7 linked regions of the Rattus norvegicus genome follow. The protein of the gene in region 6 interacts with the protein of the main gene of each other region in a pairwise test. Links are inferred from orthologs where the notes say so. Each region holds a gene or a part of one and is shown on either strand. Other genes may lie near its edges. The genes, in order: Ttll10, Rbm10, C10h1orf35, Akap17a, Zfp366, Cep70 and Nol12.

Evidence for each region.
Region 1: the proteins of Cep70 (region 6) and Ttll10 interact in binary tests that used the Homo sapiens proteins (3 or more experiments, as listed by UniProt). The two-hybrid records come from large-scale screens. The link is inferred for Rattus norvegicus from reciprocal best matches to the Homo sapiens genes CEP70 and TTLL10.
Region 2: the proteins of Cep70 (region 6) and Rbm10 interact in binary tests that used the Homo sapiens proteins (3 or more experiments, as listed by UniProt). The two-hybrid records come from large-scale screens. The link is inferred for Rattus norvegicus from reciprocal best matches to the Homo sapiens genes CEP70 and RBM10.
Region 3: the proteins of Cep70 (region 6) and C10h1orf35 interact in binary tests that used the Homo sapiens proteins (3 or more experiments, as listed by UniProt). The two-hybrid records come from large-scale screens. The link is inferred for Rattus norvegicus from reciprocal best matches to the Homo sapiens genes CEP70 and C1orf35.
Region 4: the proteins of Cep70 (region 6) and Akap17a interact in binary tests that used the Homo sapiens proteins (3 or more experiments, as listed by UniProt). The two-hybrid records come from large-scale screens. The link is inferred for Rattus norvegicus from reciprocal best matches to the Homo sapiens genes CEP70 and AKAP17A.
Region 5: the proteins of Cep70 (region 6) and Zfp366 interact in binary tests that used the Homo sapiens proteins (3 or more experiments, as listed by UniProt). The link is inferred for Rattus norvegicus from reciprocal best matches to the Homo sapiens genes CEP70 and ZNF366.
Region 7: the proteins of Cep70 (region 6) and Nol12 interact in binary tests that used the Homo sapiens proteins (3 or more experiments, as listed by UniProt). The two-hybrid records come from large-scale screens. The link is inferred for Rattus norvegicus from reciprocal best matches to the Homo sapiens genes CEP70 and NOL12.

Annotation. Positions count from the first base shown.
Region 1 is NC_086023.1:171,923,538-171,927,837, forward strand, and holds the start of Ttll10 (protein polyglycylase TTLL10), read right to left. Parts: upstream 2,801-4,300; 5' UTR 2,703-2,800; coding exon 2,701-2,702; intron 2,598-2,700; coding exon 2,535-2,597; intron 1,305-2,534; coding exon 883-1,304; intron 807-882; exon of another isoform or gene 484-806; intron 225-483; coding exon 144-224; intron 59-143; coding exon 1-58. UniProt on the Homo sapiens protein: Inactive polyglycylase.
Region 2 is NC_086039.1:4,098,525-4,102,024, reverse strand, and holds part of Rbm10 (RNA-binding protein 10), read left to right. Parts: intron 1-141; coding exon 142-228; intron 229-2,185; coding exon 2,186-2,246; intron 2,247-2,361; coding exon 2,362-2,538; intron 2,539-2,923; coding exon 2,924-3,084; intron 3,085-3,254; coding exon 3,255-3,352; intron 3,353-3,500. UniProt on the Homo sapiens protein: Binds to ssRNA containing the consensus sequence 5'-AGGUAA-3'. May be involved in post-transcriptional processing, most probably in mRNA splicing. Binds to RNA homopolymers, with a preference for poly(G) and poly(U) and little for poly(A).
Region 3 is NC_086028.1:44,493,170-44,497,184, forward strand, and holds C10h1orf35 (multiple myeloma tumor-associated protein 2 homolog), read left to right. Parts: upstream 1-1,215; 5' UTR 1,216-1,313; coding exon 1,314-1,558; intron 1,559-1,704; coding exon 1,705-1,750; intron 1,751-1,832; coding exon 1,833-1,915; intron 1,916-1,991; coding exon 1,992-2,064; intron 2,065-2,168; coding exon 2,169-2,254; intron 2,255-2,883; coding exon 2,884-3,015; intron 3,016-3,133; coding exon 3,134-3,251; 3' UTR 3,252-3,678; downstream 3,679-4,015.
Region 4 is NC_086030.1:21,425,448-21,429,408, reverse strand, and holds the start of Akap17a (A-kinase anchor protein 17A), read left to right. Parts: upstream 1-1,161; 5' UTR 1,162-1,241; exon of another isoform or gene 1,242-1,332; intron 1,333-1,596; 5' UTR 1,597-1,672; coding exon 1,673-2,473; intron 2,474-2,802; coding exon 2,803-2,951; intron 2,952-3,608; coding exon 3,609-3,861; intron 3,862-3,961. Other genes in the region: Asmtl (N-acetylserotonin O-methyltransferase-like protein), read right to left, coding at 45-137. UniProt on the Homo sapiens protein: Splice factor regulating alternative splice site selection for certain mRNA precursors. Mediates regulation of pre-mRNA splicing in a PKA-dependent manner.
Region 5 is NC_086020.1:32,354,212-32,357,711, forward strand, and holds part of Zfp366 (zinc finger protein 366), read left to right. Parts: intron 1-468; 5' UTR 469-482; coding exon 483-1,805; intron 1,806-3,500. UniProt on the Homo sapiens protein: Has transcriptional repression activity. Acts as a corepressor of ESR1; the function seems to involve CTBP1 and histone deacetylases.
Region 6 is NC_086026.1:108,688,257-108,692,506, reverse strand, and holds the start of Cep70 (centrosomal protein of 70 kDa), read right to left. Parts: upstream 2,801-4,250; 5' UTR 2,784-2,800; intron 1-2,783.
Region 7 is NC_086025.1:112,372,423-112,376,548, forward strand, and holds the start of Nol12 (nucleolar protein 12), read left to right. Parts: upstream 1-1,326; 5' UTR 1,327-1,348; coding exon 1,349-1,431; intron 1,432-1,534; exon of another isoform or gene 1,535-1,621; coding exon of another isoform or gene 1,622-1,818; intron 1,819-2,271; coding exon of another isoform or gene 2,272-2,364; intron 2,365-2,663; coding exon of another isoform or gene 2,664-2,670; intron 2,671-2,971; coding exon 2,972-3,077; intron 3,078-3,959; coding exon 3,960-4,008; intron 4,009-4,126. UniProt on the Homo sapiens protein: Multifunctional RNA binding protein that plays a role in RNA metabolism and DNA maintenance. Participates in the resolution of DNA stress and the maintenance of genome integrity by localizing to sites of DNA insults.

The sequences.
Region 1 (4,300 bases), on a different chromosome or scaffold from region 6:
AGGAGCCCATTCAGGGAAGTCACCGGGAGCCTGGCAGCTTCTTCTTCCCCTAGGTTGTCTGTGGGTAGGTGGGATGATCAGAGGCCCTGGGGTTTCTGACTCAGTAGGGTTTTCCTGCCCCTCCCAGCTGCCAGAAGCCCCACCTGCATCTTGTTCCAGCTGACTTAGCTCAGGCCGGAGCCCTTCCTCGACACTGCTCCCCATCCGTTTCTCATGGGTCCAGCCTGGAGACCAGTGGTGTCAGGTGGGGAAAGGGCAGGTACCCATTCAATCTGCCTGAGCCCAGCCAATGCCAGCAGCTGCTGGGAACTAACCCGGCCCCTCTGGACTTTTCTTCAGCCCAACACAGACCTGACCAGGAGGCCTGAGGGTCATTACACCCAAGAAAGGAGACATCATCAGCCTTAAGTCGGGCAGAGCCCACGTGTCGTGTGGAGACTACATTGGGAGTGAAGAGGGTGGCCCCACCTGCACCCTCCTTACCAGTAGGAAAGGCTCCATGCAGGGAGTGGGCTAGAGTGTGAGACAGGAGCCCATACAAACATGATGTGGGGATGTCTCCAGAGGGCAGGGGTCACAATGTCTATGATGACATCATGGGTGACTCAAGAGTCTATGGTCAACCAGGAGAGATGAGAAACTGCACTAAATGGGTTTGAGGTAGTGAGTGCCCACTGTGATGGCACGGACAGGTAAAGCTTGCAGATTCTTGAGCATAGTGTCCCTAGTATGTGGACCCTTGTTAACTTCTCTCAGAGCCTGCTTGGTTGGCTGGCTGGGCCTGGTCTAGTATGAGCCTAATCTCTTTCCTCTGAGATGCATTCCCTGGAGGCCCTGACTTGAGAGTATGTGTAACCAGTCCCAGAGCCCCTCTGTATTCACCTGGCACCTTAGTGTGGGATTGATGGGTCCTGGACCGTTTGGGTCTCTTGAAGCTGACATGGGTCCGAGGGGGTTGAACCCGGTAGTGGATGAATCTTGGACGGTTGCGCGTTGCAGGCATAAGGGCACCAGGACGTGGAGCCCTTGAGGCAGATGTAGTCCCTACACCCCTTCGGGGTCTTCGAGCAGCCCGATGTCCCAGCCCTTGGATGGGACAGACCGCTGCACCCACCCTTCTTGGGCAAGAAAGCCTCCCTGTATCCTGGGTTGTAGCTTCTGTTTGTGCCTCACTTCCATTTCTGCGATGGCCGTGAGGCCTTCTGGCCGGTGGGTGTAAGGGCATCTTTGCATCCCGCCTCTGCCTAGTGAGTTTTCTTCGGCCAAGACTGTCCTGGCCTCGATGAGTGTGGCCTCTGTGTCTGCTGCAAAGAGGTTGCCCATCAGCCTTGCTGCTGGTAGGGTGTGTATCTGCACACTTGAAGGTCAAAGAGGCTCCAAGCCCCAAAGGTCCTATCAGTTTATGGCTACCTAAGTGCTCATAACACAACCTGTCTACCATCAACTCTTCGTCCCTTAGCACCCCTGCTCCAGATACTGTCCTTTTCCTCTATTTAACATCTTTGAAACATTTTAGGGCATTTTAAATTAATTCCTAGTCAAAAGTTCGTGCCTCACATCAAGGAAATAAACCCAAGTTGTTGGGTGGGGTGAGTGAAGAGAAGGCAGCGTGACTGAGAAGGGAAAGAAAGGTTGAGGCCTTTGGACAGGAGCAGGTCAGCTCTGAGGAGGAAGGCAGGTCTGTGGATCGACTGACAGCAAAGAAAGGCCAAATAACAGCAACCATTGGAGAGTCAAGCCATTCAGGCATTACGTATGTCTAGCAGTTCTGCATTCTGCCCCCACCAAATCAACAGGAAAAGAAAAAAAAATCCAAAAAGTTCTGTAGGATGGAGAGAAATCCTGGAACGAGAAACTCAGACCTCTGTAGAGGACAGGCTGCAAAAATGGAAGAATCCAGGAGTGCCTGGAGGCTGATTGGAGCTTTAGAACTGGGCAGGAGTGTAGGTGTGTGTGTGTGTGTGTGTGTGTGTGTGTGTGTGTGTGTGTGTGAGAGAGAGAGAGAGAGAGAGAGAGAGAGAGAGAGATTTCTGCTGATCATTCTCTTAGCTTCCCATTCTTGTTATTTTAACACTGAATTCAGCTATGAATAACTATTTCTTGTCATTCATATTTACTAAAACTAGGCTAGGTGTGGTGACACAAGCCTGTAATCCCAGCACTTGGGAGGCAGAAAACAGGAGATTGACGAAAGTTTGAAGCTAGCCTAGGCTACGTAGAGAGGCCCTGTGAAACAAAGATCATAGCAAGGGCTCATGATGTAGGTCAGTTGATACAGCACTGCACAGCATATATGAAACCCAAGATCTGACTCCCTGAACCACATGAAACAGTAATGTGCTGCACAGTTACAAACCCCGTACTTGAGGAGGATCAGAAAGTCATGGTCATCTTTCACCACCTAAGTTGACAACCAGCTTGAGCTTCATGAAACCCTCCCTCAAAAATTATCTAGAAAGCATGTTTCAGGGTCTCTCTGAGGACAAGACCCAGGATCCAGAAAGGAAGTCTTACAGTAAAATAAACAATTTTACCTGTTCAGATATAAAGACTGGCAGGAAATCACACCCCGGTACGAGCAGGAGATGCGTTTAAACCTGAAGAAGATGGCCGAGAAAATGACCACGTCAGTGGTCTGCTCAAGTTTTCTCCAGACACACACACACGTTTGACAACACAGGGCTCTGAGAAGGTGCTGACATTTTTTTTTTTGAAGGGCTGGTGCCTCCCAAGCAGCGCTCACTGTCTGGGGATGCGTTCTCTGTGGATCTCAGGTGGCCCTTCTGGGGGGTCAGTTCTGGGGGAGACAGACATGGCTCTAGGCAAAAAGCTTCTTCTAAGGAATCCCAACCCTCCCCAAAATTTGAGTTGCCCACGTGGACCAATCCCACCCCTCCCCCAAACACGCCTTTCTTGGCCAAAACACTGGGGTTTGGAGAGTGGCCTTAGCAGAAGGCTTAGCTCAGCCAAGCTGCCCAGTCCTCTCTCCTGTTTATCTACTACCAGAAAGGGTCAAAAAATAAGGCTCAGGAGAGCAAGGACTCAGCCTCAGTCCTAGTCAGGACCCTCAGCTGGTAACCAGCAAGTCTCTCTTACCTGCTCTGCAAGGTCTTAGGAATCCTTTGCTGGGATACAACAGTGGTGACCTGACAACCGTCTCCAGGCAACTATTACTAGGGAACTATGATTCAGCAGCTGCCCAAAGGTAAACAAGAGTTTTAGGTGGATGGTGAAAGGGGCCATTGTGTGAGCTGAGGGGCAGCCTTACAGAAGTTGGGCAAAGCAAGTGGTGGAGAATGGGGGTCAAATTGATCTGAGGAGGCTGACGGGATGCTGTGGCTGAGTAAGGGTCTTGTATACACCCCCACCCCATCTGAATCTGGGGCATAGCCCACTTCCTCCATCCTTCCATGAACTCTTCCAAGATGATTTTTGAGTATTCACAGGGACTTCCTTAATCCAGACCTAAAGATCTAGGATCTGACACCAAGCACGGCTCAAAGTGGGTTTGATGCCAATTTGTAGTTTCCTGTTGGGGAAACTTGGGACCTGGTGTGACTCCTTGCTTCTGACCTCGAGTTTCCAGCCACATGGACTCCACATCCCTGTCATCTTTCAGGGCCTTGTAAGCATCACAAGACCTTGACAGGGACTACACGGTGCTTCCGAAACTCAGGACCATATCATGAGTCCTGGAGTCCATGACCGTGCCTTTTCAAAAATAGAGATCTGTACAGGTGTGGCTGAGTTAGGATCTTAGGTGCAGTCATCTTGCATCAACCAGGTGTACTCTAAACCCAGTGACTGATGACCTCAGAGGGGAGCAGAGATAAGAGTATGTGGCTGTAAGACACAGGACCTGTGAACTATGAGGACATATGAGGACTCCCACCAAGGGCCTTGGGGGAATATCTTGGAAATTCTGGAAAACAACTGTTGTTTTCAGCTACCTTCTAAATCTCCCCACCTTCAGGTTCTTTTGTGGTTCTGCCCATCTTAAGGGGCTCTTGAATCCCCTTAGAAACTGGGCATACCCAGTCACTCATGTGGCTCTTCCCTTGAGGTCTCTTCCCTACTCTAAGCTGCCAGTGTGGGAGCTTGTGCTCGGCTGGTCTAGAAGAGCACCATCTCTCAGCTGTGCCCAGAGTCCTAATGGGATAGGGTGCCCCAAGGCTGTCACTCTCTATTTGTGGGACTGCTTACCGTCATTGATCTGCCCTTCCTATGCTGTGCTGGGGTCAGTCCAGTGCTGGTTTAAGAGACCTCTCTGCTCTAGACTAGTAGTACAGTGGGACTGCAG
Region 2 (3,500 bases), on a different chromosome or scaffold from region 6:
CTCCATCAGTTCTCCAAACTCCCTTCATTCCCTGTCCCTCATCCATCCAGCTGAAGGGCTCGCTCACTCTTTTCTCCTTTGCTGAAACGGTATGTGGGGCACTGCTACCTAGGTCTTACTGTGTTCTGCTTTTTCCCACAGCATTCCCTCAACATCCTGGGCCAGAAGGTATCCATGCATTACAGCGACCCCAAGCCCAAGATCAATGAGGACTGGCTGTGTAATAAGGTACAGGGGTGGATGGGTAACCAGTGCTGGGGAGAAAGTCAGCTCCAGCAGCAGCAACAGCTTATTCAGTCAGAGAAAGTGTAGTCTTGGAGACAGGCTATCTAACCCCAGTCATTTAGGCTCTGTCCTCATCAAACACAGCCTTGCCTAAAGCTCCAATTGAATTGAAAGAAATAATAGCATAAGTGACAGCACAAGACACACACATTGTATAGGACATGGGCTTCAGAGCCATGGTGCTTGTAGACTGTCTCAGGTCTGCCTTGATGCTGGTCAAGGTGCTTTTCCTATCCCTATATCACTTTTCTCATCCTAAGTGAGTAAACGCTAATTAGGTGTTGAGAGAATGAAATGTGGATGGGAAAGTAACACATAAAAAGCCTTCTGGCCCACATTCAAGTCTGTAAGTGGTTGCCGTTACCTTTGAAAAGAAGCAGAATGTTCTGAGGGTAACTCAGCCTTGATACAGAAGGTCCCTGCAGGTTGTCTCATCATCACCATATTCCCTAAAAATGAAACGAAGGCTCAGGTGGAACCATGCATGAGCTTTTAGCTCACAGGGCCACCTCCTTCCTTAGGTGGCCTTAGGTCTGCCCTGAGGTCAGCATTGTGATTCTACAGCCCCATCTCCTGGGGCTATCTATAGTCTTTTTTTTTAAAGATTTATTCATTTATTATATATAAGTACACTGAAGAGGGGATCGGATCCCATTACAGATGGTTGTGAGCCACCATGTGGTTGCTGGGATTTGAACTCAGGACCTCTGGAAGAGCAGTTGGTGCTCTTAACCGCTGAGCCATCTCCCCAGCCCTATCTATAGTCTGAGGAAAGCTGAAAGCTAGTGGAGGACCCTGTGTTCTCCCTGATGAGTCTGGTTAGTGGGAGAGTGGTATCTGTCATCTTTATATAGGTGCTCAGCCTTTCTGGAGGGAGAAGGACAAAATGATACTGATACTTTATCTTTTTTCATATTTTCCTTGAAGCTGGTGTTTGCTTTGTGTTCTCCTTTTCGTTCTACATGTCTTTCAGTTACCAGATCCTGTCACTTGCATTTCAGAATAGTCACTTTCCTTTGCTATTCTTAGAGTTCTTGCCAATTCCTAACCCTCCCATCTAGTTCCCACAGAGCCCTTTTGTTATGTTAGCCTCACCCCTTTCTCCACCTTTACTTGTAGCTCTGACTGTCCCTTACATTCTCTGCCTAAAATTACTAGTTTTTAGCATAAGTCTCTCCTTTAACTGTCACCGTCTTCTCTTGCCAGCCTTGGTTTTTCTCTCTCTACATGCCCCTCCCCACCACCACCACCCCCAGCTATAGAAAGTCTCTTAGTCCCTCCGAGCAAGACTAAACCTCTGGATTTCCCAGCTCTAACCTCCCTGCTTCTATGAAGCCCAGCTCAATAAGCTGTGGCCTTTTCAACCCATTCTCTGCCCCTAACTCCTGTCAGTGCAGTTGAAACAGACTGCCCTGAACATATGTTGTTGGGCCTGACACAGTAGTAGTGCTTAGTAACTGACTGGAACAGAGATAGAATGTCATGGAAGCTGAACAAGGTCTTTGGTAGCTGGAATGTCTAAGAAGAAAAAAGCTGAAAGTAGCAGAATTCAGCCTAGGCCTAGCAATAAGGAAGGAAATGAATCTGACTAAAAGAGGCTGGTTTTCCTTAGGAAACAGTGAAAGTTTCTGGTAGGTAAGCAGTCTCAGGAAGAAGGGACTGTGAGATAACATGCTGAGAGTTGATAGTCCCAAGAAGATAGATAGAGAAGGGAGGCAACTGCTATAGCATGTGAAAATTGCTGATTGCTGAAGAAGGAAGGTTGGTGCTGGGAACCAGTTGTCAGAGGTTTATAGGATCGAAGATAATAAAGTTCCAAAACTTGTGCCACCCCTGACCTTCAAAGTTCCCTTCCTCGAGATTATTATGTTGTTAACTCCCCCTGGCCTATGCCTCACAGTGTGGTGTCCAGAACTTCAAGCGCCGAGAGAAGTGCTTCAAATGCGGTGTGCCCAAATCAGGTGAGCTACTACATGGGAGTGGCAAGAGGCATGAAGGCCAGTGAGGGCTGGGGAGTATGACCAGCCGTGCATCCTCCACCTTTGTCATCAGCATATCTCCCACCATTCCTGACAGAAGCAGAGCAGAAGCTACCCCTTGGCACTCGACTGGATCAGCAGGCACTACCGTTGGGTGGGCGGGAGCTAAGCCAGGGCCTACTCCCACTGCCGCAGCCCTACCAGGCCCAGGGAGTGCTGACCTCGCAAGCCTTGTCACAGGGCTCAGAGCCAAGCTCCGAGAATGCCAATGACAGTGAGTCAGTTGTTCTTTCCCCCTTCCTTTATACCCTAGGGCATCTGGTATGGGACCTCTGAGGCCAAAGAAATGGTAATGAACAGTGCTTGATCCTTATTGAGGGAGAGTGTTTGTACCTGGTGTGGGGATAGATATATGCTAGAGAGAGAGAGCAGAGGGAGGAACTGTCCACACACTGATTTTAGGGCTATTTGAGAGGGTTCCTGTAGTTGAGAGACTGCTGACACCTGGGCTGACAAGCAGAGTTTATTCAAGAGGAAGAGTGAGAGGAAGCAAAGGGTACATGAGTACAGAAACAAGAGAACAGGAAGCAACAGGGATCTCTAAGTAGGCCTGAACAGACTATCAGAGGTGCTTCCTAACACTGGACCCTTTCCCACAGCCATTATTTTACGCAACCTGAACCCACACAGCACTATGGATTCCATCCTCGGGGCCCTAGCACCCTATGCGGTGCTGTCCTCTTCCAATGTTCGTGTTATCAAGGACAAGCAGACCCAGCTGAACCGAGGCTTCGCCTTCATCCAGCTCTCCACCATCGTGGTGAGGGCGGCACAGGGGGGGGGCCGGGCAACCATGGTCCCGGCCCCCAGGGTAGGGAGGGGGGACCTTTACCCCACCCTCACCGCGGTCCCAGTCTGGAAATGGGGCAATGGAGCCGGGGGGCCTCCCCGGGCCTGACCCTTCGGTCCCTGCCACCTCTCCACCCATAGGAAGCAGCCCAGCTGCTACAGATCCTTCAGGCCCTACACCCTCCGCTCACCATCGATGGCAAGACCATCAACGTGGAGTTTGCCAAGGGCTCTAAGAGGTCAGAGCCCCACCTAAGCTCCCTCACAGCTCCCCCCATCTCCCTGCCCCCACCCCTCTTATACCTTGGGGGTCCCTGTTTCACAGTATCCCCCTAGCCCACCCCACCCCCGTGTACCTTGGGGGTCCCTGTTTCAATTCCAGTTTCT
Region 3 (4,015 bases), on a different chromosome or scaffold from region 6:
CAGAGGCAGAGAGTGCATGCTCAGAGGCCATTAAGGCCCCTGCCGGGGCTGGGGATTTAGCTCAGTGGTAGAGCGCTTACCTAGGAAGCGCAAGGCCCTGGGTTCGGTCCCCAGCTCCGGGAAAAAAAAGAACCAAAAAAAAAAAAAAAGGCCCCTGCCAAGCCTCAGGCCATCAAGCCCAAGATGCCAAAGGACCCCAGCCACAAACTCAGCTGTCTGGCTCTCATCACTCACTCCAAGCTTGGGAAGAGCATTTGAAGCTACATGGTCAAGGGTTGTAAGCTCTGCCAATCAAAGCAAGATTGTACAGAGGCTAGAAGCTTCCAGGACTAGGCCTAGGTTAGCAGACAAAGGCAGTAAGCTTTGGAGATGACAATTACATTAGGCAAATAAAGGATATGTATTGTGCAGCTCCCCTTGGGACCATCCATTCATCCCTAGTATGATCTTGTTCTGAGGGATCTGAATCCAGATATTTCCTCTAAAACCAGGACTTGATCTCAGGGCTTATACCAGGAGCCTCACAGGCTGCTGACAGGTACCCAACTTGTGTTCAGAATGAAAACAAAAATGAGATTGTCTTGGTCTATTTGGGATGCTAGAGTGTTCCAGGTTGGGTAATTTATCAGACTAGGGATGGAACCCAAAACCTTCTACATGTTAGGCGAGTGATCTATCATTAAATCCGTTTCTGTTCATTTTGAGGCAAGGCCTCAGTGAACTGCCGGGTAAAGCTTCACCTGCGGAGTACACAGATCGCTCTGGTTTAGGGATGCTTCGACTTGTGGTATTTAGCTTACTGTAATGCCATGCACGCTGTCACTCAGAGCACGGAAGAGTTGATCTATGTTCCTTTGGCGACTTTATCTGCTCCTCAGTGTTCGGTGAAGTTTTGCCATTACTTAACTTAGTTTCAACAGTGACCTGGACCTCAGGCCTTTGGAGTTAGCACGCTTGGCTTTCCAGGAAACAAGCGGACAGCCCCTCCTGGTGTCACTAAGGTGTTGTGGTGTCCCACTCCACGGAGATGCCTAACACAAGCGTTATCAGGTGTGATAGCACGGTTGCCTTTTTGAAGAGGTACTGCGCAATAGGACGAAGGATGTGCCTGTGGGTGAAGCAATGAACGCCCTTTGGAAAGATGGAGTCGGTCCGGGATACGCAGTGCGCAGGCGCACAGGAACGTTAGTTAGAGCGCAGGCGCGCGCGGGGGGCGGGAGAGTGACGTCACGGCGAGCGTCCGGAGGCCGAGTGCTGCGGGGAGTCCGACTCCAGACCGTAGATACTGAAGAAGGTGCAGCGGCTCCAGCACCATGTTCGGCTCCAGTCGCGGCGGCGTGCGTGGCGGGCAAGACCAGTTCAATTGGGAAGATGTGAAGACTGACAAGCAGAGGGAGAACTACCTGGGCAACTCGCTGATGGCACCAGTAGGCCGCTGGCAGAAGGGCCGCGACCTCACCTGGTACGCGAAGGACCGCGCGCCGTGTACCGGCCCGAGCCGTGAAGAAGAATTGGCAGCCGTGCGTGAGGCGGAGCGTGAGGCGCTGCTGGCCGCACTGTAAGTGCTTGGGCTGCGGGGCGACCGCACGCGCCGGGGGCGGGGTCTGGGTGACCCTGGGGGCGGGGTTGGATGTGGGCGGGGCACACGAGGAAGGCAAAGGAGGGACTAGACCTTTGCTGAGCATTCCCGCCCCTCGTTCGCAGTGGTTACAAGAACGTGAGGAAACAGCCCACCGGCCTGAGCAAGGAGGTGAGTCTGAGATAGGGGTTCAAGGTTCGCAGGGTGGCTGGGGGTCCGTCTGTCCCGGCCTAGAACCTCCTGTCTTCCGCAGGACTTCGTGGAGATCTGCAAACGGGAAGGAGGAGATCCTGAGGAGAAGGGTGTGGACCGGCTGCTGGGTCTGGGCAGCGCCAGGTGCGGCCAGTTGGGGAGTCTAGGGCAGGACTGGGCGGTGATTCAGAACTGTCCTCAAATGCTCTGTCCCCTGCAGTGGCTCCGCGGGCCGTGTGGCACTATCCCGAGAAGACAAAGAGGCTGCCAAACTTGGGCTGTCAGTGTTCACGGTAAACCCTGTCAACCCTAATGCCCAGGATCTTGGGGTTTGGGGGTGTCTGAGATGTGGGGCAGGATTCCCGGAGTGTCCCTCACCACAGCTACTCTTATACAGCACCACCGTGTGGACAGCGAAGGCCCAAGTACTGCCCCATCTGCTACCAGGAAGAAGCCCCGTGCTGAAGACAAGGCTGAACTGGAGTAAGTTGAGTCTGACTTCCTGTGCACGCATAAAGGGGCAAAGCACTGCCTTAGGTCTCTTAGTTTACTGAAGTAGGTGGGCCTCCATCTCCCGGCTGAGTCTCAGTAGCTGCCACAGGCAATCCAGCAGGATAATGGGTACAAACAGGAGGGTGACACTCAGGACCATGATGCTAGCCAGTTTGGTGGGGGGTGTAGTAGTTAAAAGTATAAGTTGGCTTTGGTAGTGGCACACATCTTTCTTTCTGGTAGACAGAAGCAGGCTGATCTCTCATAAGCTGGTTCCAGGCCTTGGGATTTAACTGTATGTGTGTCAGGTTACTTCTACTTTTGTGCCATGTCAGCTTTGTATGTAGGTAAAATAGTGAGTTCCGAGCTTGACAAGGCTGCAGAGAGAGACAGAGAGAAGGCCCACCAGGTTGGTAGCATGCCAGCATTCACCCTTGCTGCTGTGGAGCCAAATATTAAGCTCATTTACAAATATAAACTCACAATGTGTAGAAACGACCAGTGTGCAATGCTAAGGTATGGACCCTGCCCTATTCTGTCTTTCCCTACTGGGTGAGACTACCCCACAGTGGAGTGACTCTAGTTCTTCAGGCTTAGACCCTTTGTATTGTTTCTTGCAGTGCAGAGAGCCATAAGAAAAGCAAGAAAGAAAAGAAGAAAAAGAAGAAGAAACATAAGAAACACAAAAAGAAGAAAGACAAAGAACACAAGAGGGAGGCTGACAGCTGCTCATCTTCTCCCTCTCCTGCCCGGTAGGCTAGGCCCAACTCTATCTGGGTCACTAAGGAAGGGGGTGGGGCGCAAAGCTGGCCAGGGCTTGAGTGATGCTTAGCAGGGTGATGGACCCTTCAAGTGTCCCTGTCTTCCTAGGCCCAGACGCCAGAGACATTCTGACTTCTCTCCCTGCTATAAGAGGAAGCGGGAACATAGCCAGGACAGTGGAAGGAACCCATCCCACAGACGACAAGACAGAAGTTCTGATGACTGAGAATGTGGCTACACCAAAGGACACCAGAGGCCTGGCTGCTCTGCCCAACTCTGAGCTCTGTGGGGTCTATCACTGATGCCAAGTGGCTACCAGCCCACTCCTACTTGCTAACTATCTCATCCCTATCTGGGATAAGGCAGGGCTGCTCCCTAATAGCATCCTGAGCCATGCTTGCTGGATCTTAGGATCTATCCTGCCAATTGGAGGCAACCACTCCGGGTCAGAGTGGGCCCTGGGTTACCAGAGAGCCTAGTGGTTCTATGAGGGTAATGCTCTCCCCTTGTCTCCCCACCCACCCACAATTGCCCAGGAGACTGTCTGCCGCCATAGTCCAGGCCCTTGAGGTTTTGGGGTGTGTGTTACTGATTACTTCTACTTTTTTTTGTATCAGCCCACTTTGTACTTAAGTAAATGTATTTTAAAAGTAGAGTGTATTATCTCACTGAGGACAGGTTATGCTGGGAGCCTACCCCTCCCCCCCACACCTCACCATTCAGTATACCTGAGGGCACTGGGTCTAGGGACCAGAATCCTGTCCTTGAGGCTGCCTTACAAGCATACAAGTGACCAAGAAGTTGGAAGAACAAACTTGTAAATTTGAATGTATCTGCTGTCTGCTAAGAGCTCCAGTAGCCAGCAATTTTATAGAGCCTGTGTGCACATGCTGGCAGACAGTAGAAATTAGGGTTGCTACAATATAGCAAGTTGTTCTGATTGTAAAAGCTATTATGCTGGTAGTGTACACTTCTGGGTAGACCCCAAAG
Region 4 (3,961 bases), on a different chromosome or scaffold from region 6:
TCCGGTTCCCTCCCTGTCAGTGACCCGGCAAACGGAAAGCGCACCGCCAGGTCGAGGATCTCCCTCCGCCTTGGCGAAGCGCTCGCCAGGACCACGTGGTAACCGCGCAGGAGCGGGGCGAGCGGCTTCAGTGCCATGGGGGCCAGAGTCGCGCGGGGTTACCAGACCTGACCGATATCACTGGAGGACTCCGCAGCCCAGGCACCACCCTTCGTGTTACGTGAATGGTGGCGTTTTTGCGCAATTTCCGGAATTCGCCCAGGCCCCGCCCCTCCCTCTTGGCTTGCGAAATTTAGGAAAAGCGCAGGCAAGAGGGCGTATGCGGTATTAGATACTAGTAAAAATCAGTATGACAGGCGGAAGTCCCGCCCCTTTTCAAGTCCGTTTAAAGAAAATCTGAGCCGGAACTTGCCCTAGAACCACGCAGAGCCCTGGGAATCAATTCCGGAAGTCCCGCCCCCTGTCGCCTCCGTCAAAACCGGGAAAGGACGACCCGGATGCACTGTCACTGCCACGGGGGTCGCGCCAGGGCGGACGTCACACACATGGATACGCTAGGAATCACGGGATTGCCCGCCGCGCTACGCGGGCCGCGCTGGCTGACGACGAGTCGCATAGTTTATGACCTCACGCATAGCGGACAGAGTCTGCTCTTTGCTGAGCCTAGTTGCTTTGTTGTGACATCCGAGCGAAGGCGACGAAGGGGTCACCAGTGCTGACCCCGCAGGCCACTGTCACGGAGCCTAAGCGCAAAAGGGAACTGGGAGGGCGGAAGAGCGTCTACGCATGCGCGCCCTGCTGCTGTTGCTGTTTCTTGAGGCGGGGGTCAGAGGTGAGCGGTGCCGGAAGTTCCCTTTGTGCTCCTCCGCTTTCCCGCCACAGGAGGGCGGTTGAAAGCGGCTGACAGACGTTGTCTCCACGGAGGAAACGGGAGGGAGTCGATCGTATTTGACGTCACCGGTGAGCGCCTTGGTCACAGGATTATCGCCCTGTTGACCAAGGAGCCGCAACCTCCTGTGTCTGGGAGCGAGAGCAAAAACCTGCGCGTGCGCGCTGAGTGCCGCTGATTCTGCTGGTGATCCCTGTTTCCGGTATCCCGGATCAGAGGTGACCGGGACCGGAAGTGGCCATTTAAACTACGAAAATCAGTTGTCAGCGGCCGTGAACGAAACGCCTGCGGGGACTTTACCAAAAGGCCTTAGACGGTGGCGAGGACTAGAGTCTGGGCACCGGAAGCTAAGGTGCGTCACGGGAGCCCCGGGAATGGCTACGAAGGGTAACGGGGCAGAGTGACGAGGCCGCTGCGGAGCACAGGGGTGGAGCTTAGAGGAGGTGAGCGGAGAACACTCCGGGCTCGCGTGGACTGGGTCTGACCTGTTTCTGCTGCTTCCGCGGAGTTTTCCGGCTAGGAAATAGGATGGGGCCCTAGCAGGAGAAATGTAGGACTGGGGCGGAGCCTGGGGCAGAGGCTTGGCTTTATTTGAGAGGAGGGGCGGGGTTTGGTTCCTTGGCCATAATGGAGTCAGGTGAGCATAGCCTTAGCTGTGTTCTCATCCTAAGGTTCTCTGATGTCATGACCTTGTGTGCGTGTTTCAGATGTTGTGACGTCACCATGAGCATCACTACATACTGATATCACTGCACCATCCCCGCTCCCCCAGACTTGCTGGCCATGTCCTCAGCCACCATCGTGCACGACCCCTCGGAGGCGGTGCCCCTGTGCCCGGCGCTGGGCCTGTACCTGAAGCCAATCGCGCGGGTGACAATCTCGGTGTCGCTGCCCCCTCCGCCCCCAGCTCCGCCCCCTTCGCCTTCCTCGACGTCCCCACCCCCGCGTGCGCCAAGTCGTGCAGTGTCAAACTGGGAGGTGATGGAGGGACTGCGGGCGATGGCACAGGGGGCACGAGCGCCGCTGTCATCACTGCGCCTGGCCCGGGGCGGCCCTGAGGTCGTGCGCTTTGAGGGCGAGGTCGAGAACCGGGCGCTTGTGCGTCCCGCACTCGCTGGCCTGGACGGCAAGACTATGATGCTCAGCGGCCTCCCCCATGGCCTGCGTGTAAGCGCCGCTGAGGCCACGCCCCCACCCACGGATGACCCCGCCCACCCTCATGACACCATCCACCTTCAGGGCCTGCCCTGCCGCTGGTTTGCGCCCCGTGGGGGCAGTGGCGGGGATGAGGCTGGAGGCATTTCTTCCCCTGGTGGCATTGCCTCAGCAGAGAGGCCCAGCGAGGCTCTCCTGCGCCAGGCTTTCGGGGCGTTTGGTGAGATCCGCCATGTGGACATTCCCATGCTGGACCCTTACCTTGGTGAGGACGGCAGCCATGGCGGGGGCGGGGGCGGGCGGCTCCGCTTCGAGGCCTACGTTCAGTACCGAGAGCGTGATGCCTACGCCCGTGCCATGGCTGCCCTGCGTGGTGCTAAGCTCATGTTTAGGGGCACGGACGGCAAAGCTGTGGCCTGCGGCATCAAGGTGAGGGGTTTGGCGGGACCTGGAGTGGATTGACATCTTGTGGGCGGAGACTAAGCTATGACTGACAGAGTAGGGGCGGGGCACCAGATGTAAATGACACATGGAACTCCTTGGCGCTTGCATGTGGACAGGTGGGTGGTTCCTCGGGAAAAGTGCAGTGCCTGAGATGAGGGGTGGGGTCCATGACATCATGATGGTTTCAATGATGTCACAGGGGTCAAAGGGGGCGGGGTAGTGTGGAGATCAAAGGTCACCCACATGACATCACAGGGCGGCATTGTGATGTGACCACACGTCCTCTTCACTCCCCTGTGCTCCTTCACCTGCAGGTGACATCAGATGCCACACAGCACCTGAGCGAGGCTTCGATCAGACGCCGGCAGCTGGAGCGGCAGAAACTACAGGAACTTGAGCAGCGGCGTGAAGAGCAGAAGCGGAAGGAGCGTGAGGATGAGGCGCGGCGGCGGGCAGGCCAGCGGTGAGCCAGTCTGAGGCAGGGTGACTGGTGGGTGGATCAATGGGATGATGTCACTGGGAAATCATTTGGATTATATCACTCACATGACATTGTTGATAATGACACCGCCCTGATGAGCTTACTCTGATGACATCATGCTGTGTGACATCATCAGGTCTTGTATGAGGTCATGCTGAATGGTATTGCTGGCCGATATCACTCGGATGACATCACCAGGTGACATCATCCCAAATGACTTTGTGTTGCATGACATCATACCATATGACATCATTGGGGTGATGTCACTAGGATGCAATATCATATATCATGGTATGATCTCATGTTAAATGTGTTAATAAGAATGTCACCCATATGAATGACAGAGTGACATCACCACCCCTCACTTTCTCTTTGTTACACTCCTGGTCCCTCCCACCTGTCACTCATTCAGTAGTTGCAAACCCACACTCATTTATCCCACACTCATTTCCTGTCTGGGGCAAAGTCATTCGATGATGTCAATCCCTATGATGTCGCCCCCTATCACATCACCTTCAGCCTGGGATGAAATCATTTGATGACGTTGCTTGAATGACGTCATATCTAGTGACGCCAAACCCGATTGCATCACACGATGTCACGCCCAGTGACATCACCCACCCACCCCCAACCACCCAGGAAGCAGCGGGAGGCAGAGCAGCAACAACGGGCACGGCGTCGGGAGGAGAAGCTTCGGCGCAGAGAGGCACGGCAACGAGCACGGAAGAGACGAGGCCGACGTCGAGAGGAGGAGGAGGAGGAGGAGGAGGCAGAGCCCCAGCCTGTGTTGGGGCGTGAGGAAGAGGAAGGTGCAGAGCCCCGTCGGCTACTGCTCGCCCAGCGCAACCTGCAGTCTGTGCGGCTCATTGCTGCCCTGCTTGCCCGCGCTGAAGTAAGCAGGCCTTATGGGTGGGCAGAGTCAGAGGAGAGCAGAATTACAGTGTTGCCTCAGTCAGAGGTGGTATGGGCATGGGTGGGCAGGGCCTCAAGTG
Region 5 (3,500 bases), on a different chromosome or scaffold from region 6:
ACATTTAAAACACCAATGAGTGGTAATTCCAACTCAGATGAGAACTGCTGCAGTCTGCATCCTGGTTCTGACCCCCCACCCCCACCCCCACCTCCACCCCCACCCCCCACTGAGTAGCTGTGCTGTATGAACACATCATTTCATCCTCAGGGGCCTTAGGACCCTCGCTTTAAACAGAAGGAAGGAGAGGGAGATACACGAGGGACAGATAAACTTTCAGGTTTCTGTCAGAACAAACCCACTCCCAGCCCCTATGATACTGAAATTCTATGGCTCTGTAGTTCACAATAGGCCCTCAGATGGGTAGCACCACATTAGCAGGTGAATTTAAAAGAACTCAGAGGGTCAATATAATAATACTTTTTATAAGTTAGTACTGATCCCTATCCAAAACCTCTTTAAGTTCAGAAAAGAAGATCAGAAACAAGGCAAAGCAAAACCTCACAAAAGTTTTCTTTCTCTTTAAAGAGAAGCTGCAGAGGATGCAGAAGGTGATGAAGATGGTCAAAGACGAGGATGGCCCCCTCAACGCTGCTGCGAAAAGCATCCCTTCCTTTCCCCACTGCCTACAGCCCGAGGCTTCCCGAGGGAAGGCTCCCCAAAGACACCCCTTCCCGGAAGCCCTCCGGGGCCCCTTTTCACAGTTTCGGTATGAACCTTCTCCAGGAGACCTTGATGGATTCCCGGAGGTCTTCGAGGGAGGAGGGTCCCGGAAACGGAAGAGCATGCCCACCAAGGTGCCTTACAATCACTCTGCAGAAGAAGCCACCATCGCTCAGGAGAGCAAGAGCTTGGGTCCTCCAAACCTCGCTCTGCTTTTTCCGCAGCCACAGCATCCCAAGTGTGACTCCCAGATGATCGACCTGTGCAATGTGGGCTTGCAGTTCTATCGCACCCTGGAGCACCTGGGGGGCAAACCAGTCAAGCAGGAGCCGGTGAAACCCAGCGCCATGTGGCCCCAGCCCACGCCTCCTGCCTTCCTGCCTGCGCCTTACCCCTACTACCCCAAAGTCCACCCTGGACTCATGTTTCCCTTCTTCATGCCCTCGTCCTCACCCTTCCCCTTCAGCAGGCACACCTTTCTGCCTAAGCAGCCCCCCGAGCCAGTGTTACCCCGCAAAGTGGAGCCCCTGGAGAGCGAGGAGACCAAACAGAAGGTGGAGAGGGTGGATGTGAACGTCCAGATTGATGACAGCTACTACGTGGATGTGGGCGGGGCTCAGAAGCGCTGGCAGTGCCCCACCTGTGACAAGTCCTACACTTCCAAGTATAACCTGGTGACCCACATCCTTGGCCACAGTGGGATCAAGCCGCACGCGTGCTCCCGTTGTGGGAAGCTCTTCAAGCAGCTCAGCCATCTGCACACCCACATGCTGACACACCAGGGCACTCGGCCCCACAAATGCCAGGTGTGCCACAAGGCCTTCACCCAGACCAGCCACCTGAAGCGTCACATGATGCAGCACAGCGAGGTGAAGCCGCACAACTGTCGCGTTTGCAGTCGGGGCTTTGCCTACCCCAGCGAGCTCAAGGCCCACGAGGCCAAACACGCCAGCGGGCGCGAGAACATTTGCGTGGAGTGCGGCCTCGACTTCCCCACCCTGGCTCAGCTGAAAAGGCACCTCACTACGCATCGGGGCCCCATCCAGTACAACTGCTCAGAGTGCGACAAGACCTTCCAGTACCCAAGCCAGCTTCAGAATCACATGATGAAGCATAAGGACATCCGTCCCTACATCTGCTCCGAGTGCGGCATGGAGTTCGTGCAACCCCATCACCTCAAGCAACATTCACTCACCCACAAGGTATGGGAAGTGGAGGAGGGGGAAACGGGGTGGCAACCAGGGGTGGTCTGCTGTGTCACCAGGAAAGGAACAGAGCTGGTTGGGGTGGGTCTATGATCCTGTTCCTATCTAAAATGCAGAGAGCTCTGTGACTGGCTAATATGCTCGCCTAACCTGAGCCCCCAAAGCCCTTTCCCACCTCACGGAACAAACAGTGAAAGATGTGCCAGTACGCAATCAATTAAGCCCTTTCCCAGAATAGAGTTAGCGCCTAAGGTGGGACTGGAAATTACCAATGCAGACTCTTGGAGAGGACAGTGAGGAAGGATGAAGGAAGCAGCTGGGTGCTGTGATATTTCTGCTTAGCCCTCAAGAGCCCTAGCATTTTGTTTCCAGAAACTTCTTTTAGGGCACTAGTGAAAAACAAAAACGACAACAACAAAACGCATGTGATCAGACACAGATCATCATTCACCGTGCCTGGGCTATACCAAAGAAACCCTCTTTCTAGAGAATTCTCTAAGAGCCCTTTCCAGCAGCAGCAGCAGGGCCTATTTCTGGTTCGTTGGCTGGCCCTGCTGTGACACTTGCTTCCTTCGGGTGGCTATAAGTTGGAGCAGAGTTTAGCGTAGTCTCCGGGGCCTGCTCTTCCCTGTCCGCTTGGGTTCACTAGTCTGTGGTATCTTTGTGGGAAGCGGGAGGAAGCACCCTTCTCTGCTGGGTTTTAACTTCTCTGGGCTCAGATCTTCCGGGAGCAATGCAAATACAAGATTCTTTGTAACTAGCGATGTGGAGTGCACCACAGGAATAGGGCGAGCCCAGAGCTGCATCTTGAGATCTTACTCAAATAAGCTTTTACTTAGGTCTGCTGTGACCTGCCAAGAGAGGACTTTTGCCTCTACTGACCTCTGGTCTTACCCTTGACCTCAGTAGTTTTCTTGGCAAGAGCAGAGCAGAGTCTTTAAAACATCCTTTATTTCCATGGGTCATCAGAGGGCTGGCCAGCTGAGGCCAGCTGCAGCCCCACTCTGCTGGCTTTCCTTCATTCAGTCAGGACAAAACACAGTGCTCTCTGGCTCTGTAGCAGAGATGTACTTCCTGATGGACAAAAGGCACTCATAGAACATCTAAGGGGAATGGGGGTTGGGGGGGTGGGACTGGCCGACAAGTGCGGGAACCATCGACAGAGGACTTGGACTCAGATTTGGCCACAAAGGCACTGCTGGCTTAGTTCAGGGGGTTCCTGTGTATGTATGGGGATGGAGGTCAAAGGTTACTGATTTTAGACCTTATGGATTTGGCAAGGTAACGGAAAATGAAGTTCCAATGGGAAAAAGAACCTGTTGTTTTCCTCAAATAGTTAATTAAACAAGTGTGCTTTTGGTGGACACCTGGGCAGACACCAGATGCTTGCTTTGTGGTGGTTCGCAACTCAGTGTTACTGATTCTCAAGGGTGCTGGGGTCTGCAGCTGACTGAAAGTGAAAACACCGAGATATGATCCAGTCTCTCAGAACAGCAGCTCCAGCACCCAGAGCTTTGTTTGTTTGTTTTATTTATTTAGTTGGTTTTTTTTTATTTTGTGCATGTTTGCTTAAGTGTGCAAAATGCTCATGTGTGCACACAGAGGCCAGAGGCCAACTTCAGGTGTCTGCTCTTACTCCCCATGTAATGTTTTTGAGATAGATGCTCTCACCGAGCCAAGTTCATCAACTGG
Region 6 (4,250 bases):
GAAACCAGCCAACCTTGAGGCATCTCTGGAGTCTTCCACTACAACCCTTCTTTAATAATTTATTATGTGTCCAATCTACGAATAAAAGCAAATAATGAAGAGAAAGCTACTATGAAGTCTTCCTCTTGGGGAACTGTAGAGGGATTTTTTTTTTTTTTTGGTCTTTTTTTTTTCGGAGCTGGGGACCGAACCCAGGGCCTTGTGCTTCCTAGGCAAGCGCTCTACCACTGAGCTAAATCCCCAGCCCCTATAGAGGGATTTTAATTCAGCATCATGGCTGTTCTGGCTGGAATACAGACATGCCCTTCACGCCTTCAATCCCAAACAATGAGGGTAAAGTTAGTTTGTTGAAGAAAGCATCGGTGTTTGAAAGTGATGTCTAATTAAGTGGCAGACAAAATGACAAATCAGAGAAAGATTTGGCAGAACAGGATACGCCCAACTCATGAGGAGAGAGAGGAAAGGGAAGCTACCTGAAGGGCAGTGCAGTGAGAGGGGGAGGCAGTTTTGCTGGGACAGTTGTACAGAGACAGGGTGGAGAGAGAGAGCAGGTTAGACACATCTGAAGACAGAATGAGACAGAGAGGGAGAAGGAGGCAGAAGATTAGAATATATTGCCAAAGTTAGTATGAGGCCAAGCAGAAGCTGGGAGAAGCCAGACTGAATCAGTCAGCTTGGAGAGGAGTTTGAGTCAGAACAGCTGAGGTGACCAGCCAGCCAGAGTTCAGAAAGAGCTAGACAGGGTGAGCTTATTCAGCAGTAAGTCTCAGAGGCTGAAAACATTCCAGGCCTAGATAGGATTGTACAGAGGCTAGAAGCTTCCAGGACTAGGCCCAGGTTAGCAGAAGGAGGCAGCAGTAAGACTCGGAGATGCCAATTACATTAGGAGAATAAAAGTCGCTTTTCCAGGGAACCTTTCATTTCAAGGTCAGGTACAAAGCTCTCTCAGCAGAATTTCTGGAGCACAATTTGCTCAGGAATTCAGTCATATCATTTCCAAGATCTATTAACCTAATCAATAGGTTGTTTCCTCTTGTCAACACTGTCTTCTCTCCCAGACTGCACTTGCTTATCGCGTAGAAACTTTATCCATTATATTCATCCCAAAGTTGGAACAACCTGACATTATCATCAAGCTACAGAAGTAAGCTGTAAGATGGGGCCCACTCGGGCTCCTATCACAAAAATGTCTTTTGACTACATAATTTCCAAACCACAGAAATGTGTTGCTTTCTGTTCTGGCTGAGAAGTCCAAAATCAAGGTGTCAGAAGATGAAGAATCTAGAGAGGGATTGCTTTGCTCACCTAAGATAGCACCTTTTTCCTGCACCCTTATGAAACCAAGGAAAACCTGAACAAATTCTTCACACTTAACCTGTGTCACCTGCTCTTAATTCCAGACTAAACCCTCTAGACTTAACCTACTTCACGTACTCCTAGTGGCTCGATTTTAGCTGGTTTTTAAAACCACCAATTTCAGAGCTGACATTGGGGGTCGTTGTTAAAGTTTGGTCTTGAACACTTAAACCAATTACTTCCTAATTCTTGATCACTTTTCTCCATGCTCCCAGTCCATAAATATTCCTAACTCCCCGTCTTCTTTGTGAGGGCAATCTTCACTGTCAGCTTGACTGGATTGAGAAATGTCTAGTGCTTTAGTGAAGCAATCCTCAGTGTGATGATGTTTCCAGAGCAGATCGAGAGGACTCTGACCTAATAAACGGAATACTCCCTTGATGATTCACAGTATATCAGGGTTTTATCAGGACGGGGTGAAAGGTCATAAATGGAGCCAAGTCAGGGGAAGTGGGTTACTGGGAGCATGTTCTTCCTCTGGCTTCTTCCTGTACCCTCTTTCCTCTGCCTTCAGTCCATCATGCCTGCTCTGCTTTCTGGGATCACGGTGTGAAGTGGCCCATCCACCGTGCTGACCCTGCCGTGGGCAGACTGGCACCTCTGGAATTCTGAGCCCAAATCAAAAGTCCCTCCTGTAAGTCGTTTGAATCATTTTGGTCATTAACACAGTGCAAGAGACTAGCATATTCTGGTATATTTTGAACCGATTTTTGTGTGTCTGGGTTTTGTTTTTGTTTTGTTTTTGTTTGTTTGCTTGTTTGTTTTTAACTAACCAACATAGCCACCTTACAGGAGCAGTGAGTGGTCCCCAGAGAGTAGGCCCAACAACAGAACAGACATAGGTGAAGCGACTGAGGGCTTCTAGGGGCCCAGCAGATTCGAGGACCATGGTGATTTGAATACTGGGGTTCTTTGAAATGTTGTATGTTGAAACCTGATTTCTAACACAAGTGTTAAGAGGTGGAGACTTTAGGAGGTAATTAGGTCATGGGGACTCTGCCTACATGAGTGGGATCATTGTCTTTATCGGAGAGATGTGACAGAATCCATTTGCATCCATCCAACCCGGTGGATGTTTTGGAATAAGCTCCTCTGCCTGCCTCAAAATATGCCCATCACCCAAATGAGTTTTGTCAAGGGAATGAGTCTAGAGGTAGCCGTGTATGGAGAGGGGAGAGCAAATTTTATGTCTGCCTCCCGTATGTATCAGGGTCCACCTTAGGGAGTTTGGGTCTTAAAAGAAGTGAAAGAAAAGCTCTGGAGAATTGCAAGTCTGAGGTCTGTCTGGGTTACAGAGTGAGCTTAAGGCCAATTTGGGAAATTTATGAAGCTTCGAACACCGGCTCAGTCTCAGTATCACAAGGGAGAGAAAAGGACAGGGATGCCGGACAGTGGTTTTAGAGAACCAATGTCAGGAGCAGATTTACCTTCCACAGGTTTCAGAGCAGCAAGGTCGTGGGGTTTTGTTTCCCCAAGTTCACTCCAGCAACGGAGCCAGGCACCCAGAGAGGACTGACGGCTCATAGCAACGTTTGTTGTTGGGCGTTGCTCACAGGGCAGGACTTGATGATGTCTGGGTACAGGCTGAGGAAGGCTTGTTCGGAGAACAAAGGCATCAGGTTAGACAGCTACACAGGTAGGGCCGGGAAAGCAGGGCAGCAGATCGTAGACCGTACTGTTCTGCGCGCATGCTCCCAGAGCTCCCAGTCCCCAAGCTTGGTGCAGGAGCAAAACTTTGCAGTCTAAAGAATCAGACCCAGCACGCTGCTTTGCAAGATGGTCGGTCCATAGGCCATAATTGCACAGGTGAGACCAGAGCCCAGGTTGGGGAGCAGGGGACAGCCTGAAGCCACCCATCTCTATAGTGGCCACGTCCAGACCTCAGTAGTATCTAACCAGGCAACTTGCCTCCCTGTGGTTTCATGTTATGCTACCCAAGAGACTCTGGCAGTGGACATTAATGCTTTGACTCTCCCTACCACACCTCTGTCAACGTGCCCCACCCATTAGTTTCTGTTGGTCCGCTTCCTTTTCCCAAACAGTCCCTGCTTTCGTGCCTTGTTTGTTGTTGTTGTGATGGTGGTGGTGAAGGCTCTGTTTTACTTTGGGTGTTGTTGTTGTTGTTGGTGGTGGTGGTGGTGGTGGTGGTGGGTTGTCTTTTTTTTTTTTTTTTAGATTCAACATGAAAGACAGCTTATAACATCGCTGTTTCTGGGTGTGCTTTCTTGGCCTCCACATGTTGGTTTTCAGTTCTGTCTATTGTCCAACAAACAGCATGTTTCATTCTTCTTTGTGGGTAAATAATACTCCATTGTGTTTATATAGCCTTCATTTTCTTTACCTATTTATGTGTTAATGGGCACGTGGGCATATTCCATATCTTGACTATTGCACAAACAAAACATGGGTGTTCTAGGAGTTAGATTCCTTCAGTTATACAATTATCCATATTCATATGGTGGATATTTTTTAGGGTATTTCTAGGGTATTTTTAGGCACCCCTATACTGATGTTCATGGTGGCCGCATCGCCTTACACTACCAACAACAGTTACTTTCCTTTCTCCCTGTTCTCCCCATACCCCCTCCTTTCCTCCTCCTCTCCCTCCTTTCACCACTCGTTCCCTCTCTCTCTCTCTCTCTCTCTACCTCTCTCCCTCTCTCTCAGCTAGTCTTACTCTGTAACCTGATTGGCTAGAGAGAGATGTAAAGGTGTCTCCACTGTGTCTGGCCCTGTTAAACTGTTTTAGATCTGGTCTTTTGATGGCTGCCCACTCCTTTCCCCAGCTATTGATTGTGTTATCCGATCCTTGGGAATTTCTTATTGAAAACCTGAGATAGCCTGGACAGTAGTCCTCAGTTGGGTGAAGTCTAATAAGCATGTCTCTCCAGTCT
Region 7 (4,126 bases), on a different chromosome or scaffold from region 6:
CTTCTTGCTGCAGACACATCATCTCCAGGACTATCATGAAAACTGACTACAGTCAAAGACATCAGTCCTGCTGCAACACAGGACTGGGTCACCAGATGCACATAGCCTTGAGAATGGGAGGAAGTCTGTACAACAGGGTCAGTAAAGTCCCCTGCCCAGTGTTATTTTATCCCGGGTTTCACGTTCAAACTTTTGTGGTTAGTAGAAGGTGTGTTGTTAAATTTCCTCTCCATACTTGAGGATACTGAGGCACATAGCTGGATACGGCTTGTGCACCAAACCGGAGTATGGCAGACTATTGTGTGACACACTCCTAACAACACACTTATCCCACCACGGTCGTGGCTCTCAGTTTGTTGCACGCAGGAGCAATATTCAGGGCCACAAGAGAATGTGCTAGAAATAGACATTCTGGGATCCTGTCAAATGTGCTGAACCCCCAAGTTCTTGATTTGGATTTCAGCAAGCCTTCTAGTGCATGCCCAGAGTTCTAGAGCCACCTCTTTACAATAACCTTACAAAGTCACTACAGCGATCTGTGTTTTATAAATAGGAAAGTGAGACACAAAGAAAATGGTAATTTGGGGGCTGGAGAGATGACTCAATGGTTAACAGCCCTAACTTCTCTTGCAGAGGACCAGGGTTTGGTTCCCAAAACCCACATGACTCACCATCTGTAACTCTAGTTGCCGGGGATCCGATACCCTCTTCTGGGCACTTACTCATGCGGTGCACACAACTCACTCAGGCACAGTATTTTATTAATCTTATTTATTTATAGACAAGGTCTCTTTATTATGTCGCTCTGCTCTGGTTGTCCTGGAACTCACTATGTAGGGTAGGCCGACCTCGAATCCCCTGCCTCTGCCTCTCAAATGCTGGGATTCAAGACATATGCCACCTTGCCCAGCTCATAATTTATGTTTTTGGTTTTTTTTTGTTTTTTTACGGCAATTGCTCCTGAGTCACATACTTTGTAAAGGAGTACCAGTGTTTGGATCTAGGCAGTTTCCCGCGACCATAGAAATCACAAAAGAGTTGACATCAGAATTCAATTAAAATCAGTAATTCTTGGACATTTATGAATAACTCCAGATTGAGCGTCTGTTTGAGGCAGGGCAGATGATGGAATCAGGAACCTAGTGCTCACTGGAGCCATTCTAGGACAATTACTCAGAAGACCTGAACCAAAGCTAAGACAGGATGGGAGGCTCCTTTAAAAGGTGGAGCCAAATCAGTGGAACTCTGGAACAAGGCCACGACGTGCGCCCCTACCGGAAATATGAAACGGCTCCGCCCGGAAGTGTTTTAGGTCAGAAGCAGCCACGCTGCCGGAAGCTTCACTGTTATGGGCCGCAACAAGAAGAAAAAAAGAGATGGAGATGACCGGCGTCCCCGGCTCATCCTCAACTTTGATGAAGAGAAGCGGCGGTGAGTGCCAGGGTAGAAACAGATTCCCGTCCGGCTGCCGGGGTTAGCGCGCCAGTCCCGGTGCGCACACGCCCTCGCAAAGGGCACTTCCGGTCCCGCCCCTGGATGTGACTGAAGAGCGTGTTCCCCTTTCCCGTGGAGTGAAGTCTCCTGCTCTGCCCCTCACTCGCGGTTTACGGTTCTCAGGGCTATGCCTTGGACCACGCGAGTCCAACATCGTCCTTTATCACGGCATATAGCCGGCTCCCAGTCGTTGTCGACGAATCGACGAAGGACGAGCGAATGGGATGAGAGAGATTTATGTTCATTCGCTCATCAGACCGTGTGCCAACCAAGCTTGAGACCAGAGGCTGAACCTCTGCGTTTCAGTGTCACCGTGGATAAATGGCACCTTGTAGTCCGGTGGTTCTCAACCCGTGGGTCGCGACCCCTTTAGACCCATTGGAAAAGATATTTACATTTACGATTCTTAACAGTAGCAAAATTACAGTTATGAAGTAGCAACAAAAATAATTTTATGGTTAGGGATCACCACAACATAAGGAACTTTTATTAAAAGGTCATTGCATTGGGAAGGTTGAGAACCACTGTTTGCAAAAACCCTGGTGCAGTGTACCAAAGACAATTGCCAAGCATGGTGGTACAGACCTGTAATCCTCAGTCACCCGGAATGTTGAGGCAGGAGGATTGCAGAGTCAAACCCTGTCTGGAAAAGTTCAAGAACAGAATGGGTATTTGGACAATTTATGGAGTCCCTGTCTCCAAGTCAATATAAACTAATTAATCTATTAGACCATTTGTCTAGCTCGAACAAGGTACTAAACTTAATTAACCCTCCAGTACAACAACAAACTCAGGAACAGAGCAGAGATCAGACAGGAAGAGGAAGCAAGAGTCAGGAAGGTGGGGGCACTCCTAGGTCCTGCCACACAGGTGGGTTCAGGAGTCAGGTGTCATTGGGGACAGGGTGTTGGTTGGTTCAGTGAAAGTTTTGGGGGTCTGGGTGAAGGTATTATTAGAAAGCTTTACTAGAAATGACTCCTATGAGATAAAGTTTGCCAGTATAGAAATAGTGACTACTTGCTCTACATGTTGACCACGTAGCCTGGTGTGTACTTACCTAGGGGCAGGAAGCCCAGGTGAGGTAGGTGAGAGACCTTGTCAAGACACACATTGTGTTACGGTGTTTTGGTTAGTAATGGGGCATGTACTGAGACTGTAGCTTGGCATAGGTGTACGGTAGGTTAATACCTCCTAGGATTATATAAGTACACTCTGATGGTCCAGCAAGGACTACCAACTTATTTCTCTTAAGGTACCCTTGTCATTGAATGACTAATAACTGCATTGTATGTGACCTTGGATAAGTACCCTAGTCTCTTCCTCAAGTCCCTCTCTATAAAGTGAGGACTGGCTGTTGAAAGGGTAAAGTGGGTTAGTGGGTAGGATAGAGCCTGACAACTCATGGAACACTCTAGAGCCCTGCTTTCCCGTGGCCCCTCCTGACTTCCCCCACTTCTCCCCTGCTTCCTTCCTGCAGGGAATACCTGACAGGCTTCCACAAGCGGAAGGTAGAGCGCAAGAAGGCAGCCATTGAAGAGATAAAGCAGCGGCTTAAGCAAGAGCAGAAGAAGCTTCGGGAAGAGGTGCGGTTGAGGGTGGGGTATGGACTGGGTGGGGGCTCAGCTACCAGGGAGGGTCAGCCTTGAATAGGGCTGCTGGAGTCAGCTGTGGGACAGCAGCGTGAGTGTGCTGGGAGCTCTTCATACAAGTGGAGATGCTAAGGATCTCTGTAAAGGACGGTCTCCCCTTGACTTTGCTGTGTGAACCATGGTCCCACACGATGGCAGTGAAGTGCGTGGGACTGTCACAGGGCATGGATGGAAAGGCCGTTCTCAGTGTGTTTATTTCTGTCTTAGTGGCTTTTCCTGGGACTGTGATTAAAAACAAAAAAAAAAAAAAAAAACTCTTGAAAAAAGGCAGCTTAAGGGAGAAAAGGTTTGGGCTAGAGACATGGCTCAGCAGTTAAGAGCACTGACTGCTCTTCCTGAGGTGCCAAGTTCAATTCCCAGCAACCACATGGTGGCTCACAACCATCTGTAATGAGATCTGATGCCCTCTTCTGGTGTCTGAAGACAGCTGCAGTGTACTTATATATAATAAATAAATAAATCTTGGGCTGGAGAAATCTTGGGCTCAACTGTTAAGAGCACTGCCTGCTCGAGTCAGCTGGTCCCATTGCACCCACAGTCGGGAAGCAGAGTGATGAAACAAATGCTGCCCCTTGACTCCCTTTCCTCACTTAACAAAGACCGGGAATGGCTCACCTATAGTGAGCAACTCCCTTTTCTGACTTACGCAATCCAGGATCCCAGCCCGGGAATAGCACCACCCATAGTGGTCTTCTCACCTCAGTGAACAAAATCAAGATAATATCCCACAGTGTACTCAGAGGCCCATTTCCCAGGCTATCTTAGATTTAGTCAGGTTAACAGTTAACACCTTCACATTTTCCCATTTGGCTTCAGCGCCACCAGGAGTACCTGAAGATGCTGGCAGAAAGAGAGGAGGCACTAGGTAAGTCTTTAACTTATGTGGAGAGCATCCGGTGAGCCTGTGCTTCTGTGTCCCCTCGGGGGCCAAGGGGGAATGGGGAGAGAGCTGTGGAGAGGGTTATTTCCTTAGCGTAGAGATC